Linked DNA regions of Saccharomyces cerevisiae S288C. The gene in region 2 interacts genetically with the main gene of each other region. Each region holds a gene or a part of one and is shown on either strand. Other genes may lie near its edges.

What was found. A genetic interaction does not mean that the proteins touch.
Region 1: mutations in SDS24 (region 2) and CTO1 together harm fitness more than expected from each alone (negative genetic interaction), as found in Saccharomyces cerevisiae (2 studies listed by BioGRID).
Region 3: mutations in SDS24 (region 2) and FRE8 together harm fitness more than expected from each alone (negative genetic interaction), as found in Saccharomyces cerevisiae (2 studies listed by BioGRID).

What each region holds. Positions count from the first base shown.
Region 1 is NC_001135.5:140,369-144,498, reverse strand, and holds CTO1 (Cto1p), read left to right. Parts: upstream 1-2,328; coding exon 2,329-3,282; downstream 3,283-4,130. Other genes in the region: RNA-binding ribosome assembly factor RBP95, read right to left, coding at 1-865; POL4 (DNA-directed DNA polymerase IV), read left to right, coding at 3,566-4,130. UniProt on the Saccharomyces cerevisiae protein: Protein required for cold tolerance. Plays a role in the regulation of phosphate uptake.
Region 2 is NC_001134.8:648,845-653,498, forward strand, and holds SDS24 (Sds24p), read left to right. Parts: upstream 1-2,570; coding exon 2,571-4,154; downstream 4,155-4,654. Other genes in the region: NGR1 (Ngr1p), read left to right, coding at 1-1,060; bifunctional precorrin-2 dehydrogenase/sirohydrochlorin ferrochelatase MET8, read left to right, coding at 1,524-2,348; HPC2 (Hpc2p), read left to right, coding at 4,512-4,524, 4,609-4,654. UniProt on the Saccharomyces cerevisiae protein: Involved in DNA replication and cell separation during budding.
Region 3 is NC_001144.5:238,499-243,999, reverse strand, and holds FRE8 (putative ferric-chelate reductase), read left to right. Parts: upstream 1-2,592; coding exon 2,593-4,653; downstream 4,654-5,501. Other genes in the region: MLO50 (Mlo50p), read left to right, coding at 1-114; 40S ribosomal protein uS2 RPS0B, read right to left, coding at 651-1,319, 1,679-1,768; YLR046C (uncharacterized protein), read left to right, coding at 5,187-5,501.

The DNA.
Region 1 (4,130 bases), on a different chromosome or scaffold from region 2:
CAACGAAGAAATTCTTAAGTTCTATCTGCTCCGAGTCATCATTCTTCCAAATTTCTAGTAATTTCAGACTTCTTTGAACAAGCTCTTTATTCGGCATTTGTACTTCCTCTTGCTCGTCTTGTACCTCTTTTTGCTTCCCTTGTTCGGCATTACCGTCTTTTTCACCTTCTTCTTTTTCTTCACCATTAATTGGTTCGCTAGCCTTATCCTCTGCAATTAACGCTTTTATTTTTGTTTCTTGATCTTCCACATAGTCGTTCCATTGCTTCAGTTTTCCTTTGCATTTTGATATTAGTTCTTCTTTTGATTTACCTTGTAAGTCCCTGAAATATAAAAGCAAAAGATCATTATATACTGAGGGGATTTCGTCCAAGTTGAAAAAATGCTTAATAAGCCAATTTTGCTTTTGCTTGGAAAATTTCCAAACTTCAACAACACCAGACTCTGATGGCTCGTCTTTGATCAGGGAGTCGCCGTAATTTTCTTTTACACTTTCCAATTCTAGGATTCCGGTGGGAAACTTGCTCTCAGACTTTGTCCTGAAAAATTCTATCAGGTAACGTAATTGATCTTTAAGAATTTTATTTTTTTTCGAATTCTTTTCATCCTTTGACAATTTTTCCTTCTTCTTCGTCCCTGGTTTCGACACACGCTTCCCTTTTTTGGTAGAGGATTTGCTCTCACCATTAATGATTCTTTTTTTCTCTTTCTTTGTCAAATTACCAGTGGATAAATGCGTAGTGATATTTAGTGGATCATCATCTATTAGATTGGATTGGCCTTTTTCTTTACTTTCGTCACCACTGCTTATAGTCTGTCTCTTCAAAGCAATTCTTTTCCAGGCAGGAACGTGATTTTCGGACATTTAATTGTGAAGTGAATGTTTCTTCTGCTTGTAATTTGTCGATAAAGAAAGCACTTATGACAGTACTTTGATATTTGAATTTAGCTCATCTCTTTTCGTTCCTTTTTCTCGCTCGAAAATTTTCAATAATTTGCAGTAAAAAGGCGATGCCAGTAAAAAACTACCTGCAAAGGGAGCGTTAGACATATCTTTTATTGGCGACAAATATTTTTAGCGATATATATCCGTAAAGATCTGGCGATATTCTTTATCACTCGATGATAATAAATTCTTTTACACTTTGCTATTTTCCATGAGAACGGTTGGTATTCCTGTTCCCAATAACAAAAGCGTTTGCATATTTTTATGGTGAAGGTACTATCAACTGTAAAGTATGTACAATAGATTTATTAAAGGGAAACACTTTTCGTAGTAAGAAAAGCAGGTTTATAATTCAATTGTTTTAAAGCTGAATAATGCCGTGGTGTTAAACTACGACCGAGCTATAGCAACAGCATCGGCCACACACTCTCTCTTATTCTTATGTTAATAGTCGACCTTTCAAGGATGTTCTTGTTGGAATAGAAATCCACTATCGTCTATCAACTAATAGTTATATTATCAATATATTATCATATACGGTGTTAAGATGATGACATAAGTTATGAGAAGCTGTCATCGAAGTTAGAGGAAGCTGAAGTGCAAGGATTGATAATGTAATAGGATAATGAAACATATAAAATAGAAGAAGGGATAATCGTAATATTAGTATGTAGAAATATGGATTCCATTTTGAGGATTCCTCTATCCTTGAAGAGAACTCCTAGTATATTCCGTATACATAATATTGTTGCTTTTCTCGAATCATGTATCAAGATTACTAGCGCAAGTGGTTTAGTGGTAAAATCCAACGTTGCCATCGTTGGGCCCCCGGTTCGATTCCGGGCTTGCGCATCTTTTTTACTTTATATACTATTTTTTTTTTTTTTCTTTTTCCCAAATTTTTTCATGAAAAATTTGGCGGAACGGTACATAAGAATAGAAGAGATTCGTTATGAAAATTTTCTACTCTCTTTCACATTTTTTTTTTCATAAGAATTAAAAAAATAAGCTTAATGCCCTCTTTGTACGATGGTGTCACTCTAAAATTATTTACGTAATTTAATTGGATGTGATATCAAGCACTAGTTTTGTTTGGAGGAGCAGAGATTGAAAGCCTAGCTTTTACACCGGTTTGAGTCGGTTCCTTCGTTTTCTTAGTTGGAATTGATATAGAAGTGTGTGGACAATCGATTTGCAAAACTTTTTATTTTATGTATTACTACTGAGCTTGTTTATCTGTATACTTTTTTCTTATTATTATGTAGTTAGAGGTTAGTTCTTATCGTTTTCTTTAAAAGCGACCTTTCTTCGCACAAAGCAATGTTGACAATCGAGCCAATGCATTTAACAATTGCAGTAACCAGAAGCGAACAGTGGAGGATATGAAAACCATTATTATTTCAGATTTTGATGAAACAATCACAAGAGTTGACACAATCTGCACCATTGCTAAATTACCGTATCTACTGAACCCGCGGTTGAAACCTGAGTGGGGTCATTTTACCAAGACATATATGGACGGATACCATAAATACAAATACAATGGAACGAGATCACTGCCGTTGTTATCTTCAGGCGTACCTACGATAATTTCGCAGTCTAACTTCAATAAGTTGTTTGCGGACGAATTAAAATATCAAAATCATAACAGGGTTGTTGAGTTAAATAGTGTAAATGAAATTACAAAACAACAGATTTTTAAGTCGATTTCTTTGGATCAAATGAAAACGTTCGCCAGAGATCAGAATCACGAAGATTGTTTACTAAGAGATGGTTTCAAAACGTTTTGCTCTTCAGTTGTCAAAAATTTTGAAAGTGATTTTTACGTTTTATCTATAAATTGGTCAAAAGAGTTTATTCATGAAGTCATTGGTGACAGAAGACTTAAAAATAGTCATATTTTTTGTAACGATCTAAAAAAAGTTAGTGACAAGTGTTCTCAAAGCTACAATGGTGAATTTGATTGTCGGTTATTGACAGGCTCTGATAAGGTCAAGATACTGGGTGAAATATTAGATAAGATCGACTCAGGTTGCAATAAAGAAGGAAATTCTTGCAGCTATTGGTATATAGGGGATAGTGAGACTGACTTGTTGTCCATATTACATCCATCTACTAATGGTGTACTGCTAATAAACCCGCAAGAAAATCCTTCCAAATTCATAAAAATTACCGAAAAGATTATTGGTATCCCAAAGGATAAAATCTCGAGTTTTGAAGCTGATAATGGTCCAGCGTGGTTACAGTTTTGTGAAAAGGAAGGCGGTAAAGGTGCCTACCTTGTGAAATCCTGGGACTCTTTAAAAGATTTGATCATGCAGGTAACAAAAATGTAGAAACGGATGAAATCCTGTATATTCAAATTTATATAACCAGGACGTTGCAGTGCTAATAATAATGGAATACCGCTAATTTTCCTCCTGTTTTTTCTTTTTTAAGTAAAGATAAAATAGTATTTCACTTGCACTATTCTTCTATCTCCGTAATCGGTCTCGGTCTAAAATTACTTTGAGATGTTCAAATACATGGGGCTAATAATTTTAAGGGCTTGCAAAGAACTTATATGTCACAGTGATAATAAGTAAAGGATAAACATGCGACCTGTTAGACAAATCGCACATGTCTCTAAAGGGTAAATTTTTCGCCTTTTTACCTAATCCTAACACATCTTCCAATAAGTTCTTTAAGAGTATATTGGAGAAAAAGGGCGCCACAATTGTGTCAAGTATTCAAAATTGTCTTCAATCTAGCCGTAAGGAAGTGGTCATTTTGATTGAGGACTCCTTTGTTGATTCTGATATGCATTTGACTCAGAAAGATATTTTCCAAAGGGAAGCAGGCTTAAATGATGTCGATGAATTTCTTGGTAAGATTGAACAGTCAGGCATTCAATGTGTGAAAACCAGTTGCATCACAAAGTGGGTCCAGAATGATAAATTTGCGTTTCAAAAAGATGATTTGATTAAATTTCAACCATCCATTATCGTTATATCAGATAACGCTGATGACGGACAAAGTTCTACTGATAAAGAGAGTGAGATTTCAACTGACGTAGAAAGTGAAAGGAATGATGACAGCAACAATAAAGATATGATACAAGCTTCAAAACCTCTTAAGCGACTCTTACAGGGGGATAAAGGAAGAGCTTCCCTTGTTACTGACAAAACGAAGTACAAAAACAATG
Region 2 (4,654 bases):
GCTTCCTCTCAATGCCTTGCATAACGCGCCTCCAATGCATTTGAATGAGGGCGGCATTTCAAACATGCGTGTAAATGATTCACTACCTTCAAACACCTATAATACAGACCCCACTAATACTACTGTTTTTGTGGGAGGACTGGTACCAAAAACTACCGAATTTCAATTACGTTCACTATTCAAACCCTTTGGACCCATTCTAAATGTCAGGATTCCCAATGGTAAAAACTGTGGGTTTGTTAAATTCGAGAAGAGGATTGATGCTGAAGCTTCAATACAAGGCCTGCAAGGCTTTATTGTGGGCGGCAGTCCAATAAGATTATCATGGGGACGCCCATCCAGTTCAAATGCTAAAACAAATTCGACCATCATGGGGGCAAGCCAATATATGTCCTCAAATGGCCTGAGAGCGCCATCTGCGGCTTCTTCAGTCGATAACTCCAAACAAATTCTTGAACAATATGCGGAAGATAAAAGGCGACTCTTTTTACATCAGCAGCAGCAGCAGCAGCAGCAGCAGCAACAGGATGGTAACTTTTCTATGGAGCAAATGGCGCACAACAACTATTACAACTACAATAATTACGATTATCACAGGAACAAGAATGGCAGCCATAGCGACCTCGTTAATCTGCAGAGATCTAATGTCCCGTATATGCAAGAAGACGGTGCACTGTACCCACACCAATATTCAAGTCCCTCATACTCGCTCCATCCGACGGGCAACCAATTCTCCAATGCTACTAATAACTTACCTCAATTTGGGAACGCGATGTCAATTTCTATGCAACTGCCCAATGGCAACAGCAATAAAACGGCCTCAAGCATGAACACAAACCCTAACACAAACATGATCATGAATTCTAACATGAACATGAACATGAACGTAAATCCAGTACCATACGGAATGGGAAACGGTGCAAATATGTATGACGTGTCCAGGATGATGACTCCTCCCTTAAATATAGCCCCGAATTCCAATAATTCGAAATCGAGCATCATGAACAAGCATCCTAATAGGAACAATGTTCCGCCAATTCATCCTTCTCTTCTACATTGATTACAAAAGACAAAAAAAGAAAATTTTAATCTTGTCCGCAGTTTTATCTGCGTCTCTACGTTCTTACGTTTCTTCTATTAATGCCATTTCAGTTACAACCTAGTCAATTGTCGATCCATAATTCTAATCAAATTTGTTTTTCCTCTATACTACCTATCTATTTTTATCTATCTAAGTACATTTATTTACTCAAACAGTTCCGTTTCAAAGTGTTTTATATTAACTATATATGCGAAAAGCTGGCGTCATAATTTCACGTGTTATAATAGCCATGCTGACGGAAAAAAAATGTGAAAATCGCTACAAAGTCCGATGACTACGGGCAGTAGCATGTAAATGATGGACACACACACACACATATATATATATATACATTTACTTCAATAAAAGGCTGTGCCAGACATTTTTGCCATACATTGTTCATGAAGTGTGCAAAATAAGAGAGTGTATAATAGGATAAAAAATGGTCAAATCGCTACAGCTAGCCCATCAATTAAAAGACAAGAAAATACTACTAATCGGAGGCGGAGAAGTCGGCTTGACAAGGTTATATAAGCTGATACCTACAGGTTGCAAGCTGACTTTAGTATCTCCTGACCTACACAAATCCATTATTCCGAAGTTTGGAAAATTCATCCAGAACGAGGATCAGCCCGACTACAGAGAAGACGCTAAACGCTTTATCAATCCGAACTGGGACCCCACGAAGAATGAAATTTACGAGTACATCCGCAGTGACTTCAAAGACGAATACCTCGACCTAGAAGACGAGAACGACGCGTGGTACATAATAATGACCTGTATACCCGACCACCCTGAAAGCGCAAGAATATATCACCTTTGTAAGGAAAGATTCGGTAAGCAGCAGCTGGTCAATGTGGCGGACAAACCTGATCTCTGTGACTTTTATTTCGGCGCCAACCTGGAGATAGGAGACCGTCTACAGATTCTGATCTCTACCAACGGCCTTTCTCCGCGCTTTGGCGCTCTAGTAAGAGATGAGATCCGTAACTTATTCACACAAATGGGGGATCTGGCGCTGGAGGACGCTGTCGTCAAACTAGGTGAGCTGAGAAGAGGAATTAGGCTGCTGGCACCAGACGACAAGGATGTCAAGTACCGCATGGATTGGGCCAGACGCTGCACAGACCTCTTCGGCATTCAGCACTGCCACAACATCGACGTAAAACGTCTGCTGGATCTTTTCAAGGTCATGTTTCAAGAACAGAACTGTTCCTTGCAGTTCCCTCCCAGAGAACGGTTGCTTAGCGAGTACTGCTCGTCTTGAGCGACAGGGCCTCCTCTTTTAAGGGGCGCGTCCTTTCTATTGTGTAGAGAAAATCTACTGGGATTTTGTATATATTTCGCATATATAGGGGTTGGAGAACGAACAACAATGCCTGTTCAGATCAACTTTTCTTCTATCTTATCAGGCAAGATCAGGCACACAACCCAACTATAATAACTATAAACACTTATAGAACAATTACCGTTTCTTCCTTCACACAACATGGCTTCTACTTCGAACACGTTCCCTCCAAGCCAAAGCAATTCTTCCAACAACCTTCCAACTTCTAGACATGCATCCATTGTGGAGATGCTGTCTACTCCGCCATTGCTGCCCCACGTTCAAGTGAACGATACAGACGACAAGGAACAACCAGAAGAGTCCACGCCGCCAACAGCAACAGCGGCAGCGCCTGGTCCAGGTTGTGCTGCTACACCCGCCCCCTTGCGCGATGAAAAGCCTCAATTCAAACTATCAGCTGTTCCTATGACCCAGACGCCATCGCAGTGTCTGTCATGTGTGCACGCCCAAAAATGGCAACACATACCGTTGTCGCAATTGATCGAACAGAATAAGCTTATTTTTGTTCCAGGTTCCATATCGGTAGAGGAGGCATTCAACACTTTGATCAAGTATCATCTAAACTCTATTCCCGTGGAATCTTTCCCCGGCGACATGAACTGTTTTACTTTCGACTACAATGACCTTAATTCGTACCTTTTGCTGGTTTTGAATAAAATCACCGTCAGCAACAAACAGCTTACTGCAGATTGCCAGAATGGAAAACCCGTACCAGTGGGCGAAATGGTGAAACTAACTCCTAAGAATCCGTTCTATAAGCTGCCGGAGAATGAGAGTTTGTCCACGGTGATGGGGATTCTCGGTTCGGGTGTCCATCGTGTAGCGATAACAAACGAAGAGATGACCAAAGTTAAAGGTATTTTGTCCCAACGTCGTTTGATAAAGTATCTTTGGGACAACGCTAGATCTTTTACAAGCTTAGAACCTCTATTAAACTCCTCATTACAAGATTTGCACATCGGTGTTCTCAATATTCAATCTAAGCCAACTTCAAGACAATCCCGTGTCATCTCTATTCAAGGCGAGGAGCCCTTAATCATGGGCCTTTATAAAATGCATGTGGAAAGAATTTCTTCCATTGCAGTCATCGACAAACAAGGTAATTTGCTAGGTAACATATCGGTAACGGACGTAAAACATGTCACAAGAACCTCCCAATACCCCTTACTACATAAGACATGTCGCCATTTCATTTCTGTCATTTTAAACTCCAGAGGATTAGAAACGGGTAAAGATTCTTTCCCCATTTTTCACGTATACCCCAGTAGTTCACTAGCAAGGACTCTTGCCAAGTTAGTTGCTACAAAGTCTCATAGACTATGGATCGTACAACCGCCGGAGTCGTCAACCTCGGCGTCATCCACAAATTTAACAGCTGCTAATACTGCAGCCAATGCAGTTTCTGCCACCGCTCAATCGTCTGCTAATGGTGCGACTCCAATGTCAAAGTCATCCTCTTCAACATCCCTCAACTCCCACTCTCCGTTGATGACAGCAATGGAAGACCCACCATCCCCACGTTCTTCGGCCATCGCGATCCCACCACCAAGTCCCGCTTCCTCAACAAACACACCAAACCTATTCGAAAAGGAATATAGAACGGGTAAGTTGATCGGTGTGGTCTCATTGACAGACATCATCAACTTATTAGCAAGGAAACAAACAGGGAATAAAGAAGTGGATCCGCAATCCGCAAGAAGACAGAGAGGCAGTATCGCCATGTGAGGCTTGCAGCGTTGTCTTTTCCCGCTGTTTCCCTCTCCCTCAAAAAAAAAAATCTTTTACAATGACTAAAAGAAAATATTGTTCATTTATATGGTTTTAAGTATTTTGTAGACATTTAAGCGTATATACTTGTTCTGAAAACATTTATATATTCTATTTTGTATATTCAACTTATTAAACTCTGACTTTTGCTATTGTCGCGTATATGTATATCTTTTTTTCTTGTCGTGGAAAATTAAAGCAAAATATGTCAGGCGAATGTACACACAATGCAGAAACTGATGCGGTTAATTTTGCATTCTGAAACGATTTAAACGAACAGCATTAACCTCCACGACCATATTCAAACGATTGGAAATGGACCAAAAAGGTATGTTCTGGCTTTATTTTCAATTATCCGCCCTTCGTTAGGGGTGTTTTAGATCATTTTGATTAACAATTCTATTTATGATAGCAATTGTCCTTGATAACTCTAAAAGTGGTAGTAAACAGACAAAATC
Region 3 (5,501 bases), on a different chromosome or scaffold from region 2:
CATTACAAGTTTTTTGTCAGTAATATCTCTGAGCTGGTTATTCAAATTTCTAAAATCGATTGTGACTTAGTCATTCTGCTAGAAGATTTAAGGTCACGGATTGATTTAGATTGAGCAAGGGGTAAGAGAGAAGGCAGGTATTTCTCCTGGAAGAATATATATATATATATATGTATAACGAAAGCAAAATAAATACTCGGGTGAACCCGTCATGGCGAATAGTGCAAATTTAATTAATAATAAAAATGAAATATCAGAACTAAACATTAATTTAACTTATCTTCAATACTATAGATAGTCAGCCTTCCCGCTAAAGAATTTAATTATTGAAACCACTTACCTAATAAAAAAAAAAGCGTAATAATGGCCAAATGACTTGAATATAAAAGGACAAAAGCATAAACTTTTAAAATATTATAATTTTTGAATTTGGTTAAAAATTTTTATACTATGATTGCATTAAAAATACAGATAGATGATGACGCTTCAGAGAGAAGCAAATATATATGAGATAAAGATAAACGATAGATGAATTTAAAAAAAAAATGAAAAAGAAAAATTAGAAAAGGAAGTGATACTTCTGTCTCTTTTTTTATCTCTCTTTCTCAATTCCTTACAATATTCACACACATTGCAAGGTTTTCAAATGATTACCATTCAACGTTGTCTGCATTTTCTTCAGCCCATTCAGTAGCTTCAGCTTGACCTTCAGTGACTTCTTCCTTAACTTCTTCTTCTTCACCTTCTTCAGCGGCAGCAGCTTCTTCAGCAACTTGCTCAACTTCTTCTGGGTTTCTGTAGAAGTACAAATCTGGCATGATGGACCATGGTTGAGTTCTGTCGACCAAAGCACCTCTTAGTCTCAAAACTTCTCTAGCCAACAAGTACCAGATTAAACCGATGGAGTGCTTACCTCTGTTGTTACATGGGATGGCGACATCAACAAATTCAGATGGGGAGTCCAAATCAGTCAAAGCAATGACTGGAATGTTAACGTAAGAAGCTTCCTTAATGGCCTGAGCGTCTAATCTTGGGTCGGTAACAATAACCAATCTTGGTTCCTTGAAAGAACGGGTGATGTAATTAGTGAAAGAACCTGGAGTGAATCTACCGGCGATTGGAGTAGCACCAGTGTGAGCAGCAAATTTCAAGACAGCTCTTTGACCGTAGGTTCTGGAAGAGATGGCAACAACATCTTCTGGGTTTGGAATGGCAGCAATAATTCTAGCAGCCAAAACCAACTTTTCCCAGGTCTTACCAACATTGATAACGTGAACACCATCTGGTCTAGCATTGAAAACGTATGGTTCTTGGTGGACCTAAAAAAAGAGAGGAAAGATAAATTATGTTAGTAAGAGCGTTCATTTGTGCATATATAATGTTTTCTTCCATATCCAATAAAGTACCGAATTATATCCCGTGGAATTTTTTGACGTTTTACTGTTTCATCGGAGTTCATAATCTTTGACACAGTCGAGGATGTATATTCTTATTGAGTTTCTTCTCCTTACCCTCACTAAGAAGTGAAATTCTAACTCTTCTAAACCCGGCGTGTTCAAAATTCCTCTGAAATTACCTTTGGTCCTCTGACCTCCAAATATGATTAAATCGGGGACATATTCTTTTCGAGACCTATTATCATCTATAGAACATAATCGTATGGGATATGTGTACATACTTGAACGTTTCTAGCACCTAAATGGGTGTTAGCGGCCAACAAAAGTTGGGCATCCTCTGGAGTCAAATCAAAAGTAGCTGGTAAAGACATTATCCTATCAGTATCTTATCTTATCTCTTCTTGTGCTATTTCGGTATTCTAAATTACACACTTAATAACTCGCGATTTTTCAATACGAGGATTCAAACTTGATCATATTATTTTTACAGGAACTAGAGAAGGTGATGTTCCCTACCACGAACCTTCTTACTGAGTGTTGCAGTCCTTCCATTCCATCTTTCCAGCTCCTCCCGCGTCCGTCAACCTCCAGCGGGACCCTCGTTCGAAACAGCACAAAGGTTCGGTGACCGTGCCCTGGAACTTCCGCCTAGCGCACTCAATTTCGCCTTGGTAAATTTTTCAAAGTAGGCGGAAAATTAAAGTAGCGCCATTCCCATAAAGAAGTGACAAAGGCCTTTAAGAAATAGGTAAAATTGTCATGAATGCATGGGTTTACATTTTATATGTACGGATGTAAAAAGGGAAATATTAAAAGTGTTGAAAACGTAATGCCCAAGCTCTTTTTTGTTATTGAAAAAGAAAAAGGGTGCAAATAACATGTATGAACTACGCATGGCAGCCATTATGCATGTAAAATAAGTAATAAAATTTAAGTTTAGGGTAAAAACGTTTGGTGGTATCCGTTATGGAAGATTAACACTCTGTACAGCCTCAATTTCTTTTTTATTTCCCTTCAAATTTAGGTGGAAAAAGAAAAAGCTAGTGTTGATCTCTTATTTTTGCCAAGCTTTTAATTATCACGTTGCCACTTTAACAGTTTTATTACATCTACATCTCTTCAGATTAAATCGTTAAATTACAATAGAAGTTCCGCTAAAAAAGTTTACTGTATTTTATTTATTGTTATTTTCAGCATGAATTTAAAGTCCATCGTTAGCTGGTTCAAGGAACATCTTCCCAGTTTTGATGTCGACGTGGACAAGCATTTTAGAACTTTAAGAGTCCGCAAATATTCTCAGATATGTCTTTTAATTTCTTTCATTATAATATGTGTTATTATACCCTTAATGAATTATTTGTTGCTAACTGACAAATTCTTCAAAATATGTCACCATTTAAAGCATCATGTTTTCAACAGAAGATCATGGGTTCACAAAACACATATGTATCACAAACAGTCACTACAACTATGTTTAATATGCTTTGTTTTCACCTCGTTTTTTGTTATACAAGGCGCTAACGGAGATCTGTTAGAAATTACTAAGCGAATGGGGAGAATTTCCGTTGCTTTGATGCCACCTTTACTATTTCTAACGTTGAGGCCATCACCGTTACCTCACACGTTATACTTAGCATTGTTACCTCTCCACAAATGGATTTCCAGAATTGTTGTGCTTGAATCTATTCTACACACGTGGTTCTATCTCTATTACATGTACATTAATGATACGTTATACGTGAAAATGAGAAAACTACCCAACATTTATGGGGTTATTGCCCTCGGCCTTTTCCTACTGATTGCCATCACCTCTGTGAGATATGCCAGACGATGGAGCTACAGAGTTTTTTACTATGTTCACTATGTAAGCACATGGCTTATTTTGGTGTTTCTACATTATCACGCTCGCCCAGGAATTTCATATTATACCACTTTAAATGTGCTCATATTAACGGGACAAATCGTCTATAGGCTCCATATCACCAATGTTACGAGAGTTACGATAGTACCCATTTCTTCATCATTGTCTCTTTTGGAGTTCCCATTAACCGATTTACCCAAAAAGCCCATCCTACCAGGAGGGCATCTAAGGATCAACATTTACCATAGAAATTTTTTAAGGAGGTTTTTCTCCCATTTGATACCCTTCCAACATCCTTTTACTATTGCTAGTATTCCAAGTGATAATTTGGTCAGGTTAATTATTAGAAACGGGCATTTTCCATTGCGTACAAATGAAAAGTATTACATTACAGGGGCTTTTGAACCTGAGTTGAGTTTCATTTCTAAACCTACTGTTCCTTTTAATATTACCACGAAATCTTCCAAGAATCCATTTCGAAACAATTCTTCTGCACTAATAAATTCGCCTTTAAATTTTCTAATTAAAGCGCAAAGAGTGTTTATGTGTGTTGGAGGTTCAGGAATTTCCTTTGGCTTACCACTACTTCGTATTCTAAACTTCAACGGTGTAAACGTTAGGCTCCTTTGGGTTTCTAGAGATTATAAGGATCTGGAAGTATTGAACCACTTCAAAAACAATTTTGAAGGTATGGAGATATATATTAGTGGCACCGAAGGCAACGAACAGGACATAGAAATTGATTATATTGACTATCATGACTGCGCTGCTGATATTAATGATGAAGTCAGGAGTATTTCTTCGAGCGGCCGAGTTTCAGAACTGGGAGATAATTCCATGTTATCAGATGGAAATCCCCAACCTACGGAGCCCAATGAGAACACAGCCCTTCTAAGTAAGAAATCTACCTTGAGAAACCATCACCCACCAAAAACAAGTGATATACCTGACATCAATGCTGATGACGAGATAGATTTTACATATGCTTTTAGCAGATCCAAATCAAGGAAAAATACTGCACAAGGAACTCTAACTACACATTCTTCGTTTAACGGATCGAGCGTTTTCAGACAACCAAAGATCATTGAGCCACCTGCCCAAGATCCTTGTTTAGAGGCGGCGCCTAAAAAGATCAGAATTCCCGCAGGTGTTAAAGTGTTCTTTGGCAGGCCTACACTTGGAGATAAGGATTATGAATGGTGTCTGCAAACCGAATGTGATGCAGAGACGGATTCTATTCAATGTTGCAGGTGGGCGAATCAAGGCAGAGACCATGCTGAATATTTGTCACAAGTATGGGTTCTCGCTGCAGGCCCTAGAGGCTTAATTGAAAGCACCAAAAGATGGGCGACAGATGGTGGTTTACACTTTCACGGAGAAAGTTTTGCATTATAAGAGTTGCAAGTTGGCTATTAGTTTATGAGGCTTGGAAAATTCACGTATTTGATGGTGGCATATCTATAATGTCCCGTTTTGCTCTTTAATCTTACTGTCAAAAAAGGGCCCTATGTACGATCTTTTCTAACTGATTTTTTCCGAGAAAAGTTCCGCAGGCTGATTTAGTTTTTTTCTGGTGGTTGTCAAGCCTCTCTCCACTTGGTGATAGTTGCGAAAAATGACAGCGGATATTAATGGATATTAGCGGGAATAAGCACATTTCCATATTGATTATTTGTATGTCTAGCAACTTATAAGATGAATTATAAAAGGCATATAAGTTCTTCTTGGTACTGAATACATGACACTCTCACTACTGTACTAGAGACTTATTGTCGATAAAAGAACTCAACTGCCTCAATAGGAATTTTTTTACTAAAGCAATCACTGATTATGAAGGTTTTTATGCATACAATCCTCACAAAGGTGCAGCGATTGCATTTGTCGTTCTGTTTGGCATTTTAATCCTTTCTGCCTTGGTGCAGATCATAATGGCAACACACACGAGCAAGAGACGTATTCATCGCTGGGAAAACAATGAGTTGTCAGAGGAAAATTCCACAATAATATACTTTCCTGCCCGCGGTTTGATGTGGACACATTTTCCTTTCGTTTTAGGGATTTGTTTAGAGTTCGTGGGTTATGTGTTGAAAATAGTCTTTATCAATAGCCCCTCGATTTCGACTTTCATTGCTCAATCGGTGCTTCTATTGATAGCACCTTCACTTTACGCCCTTAGTATTTTTATGTTGTTCAGCAAAATGGCACGTCTAATTCTTATGGAGGCATATATGTTAATTCCTGCG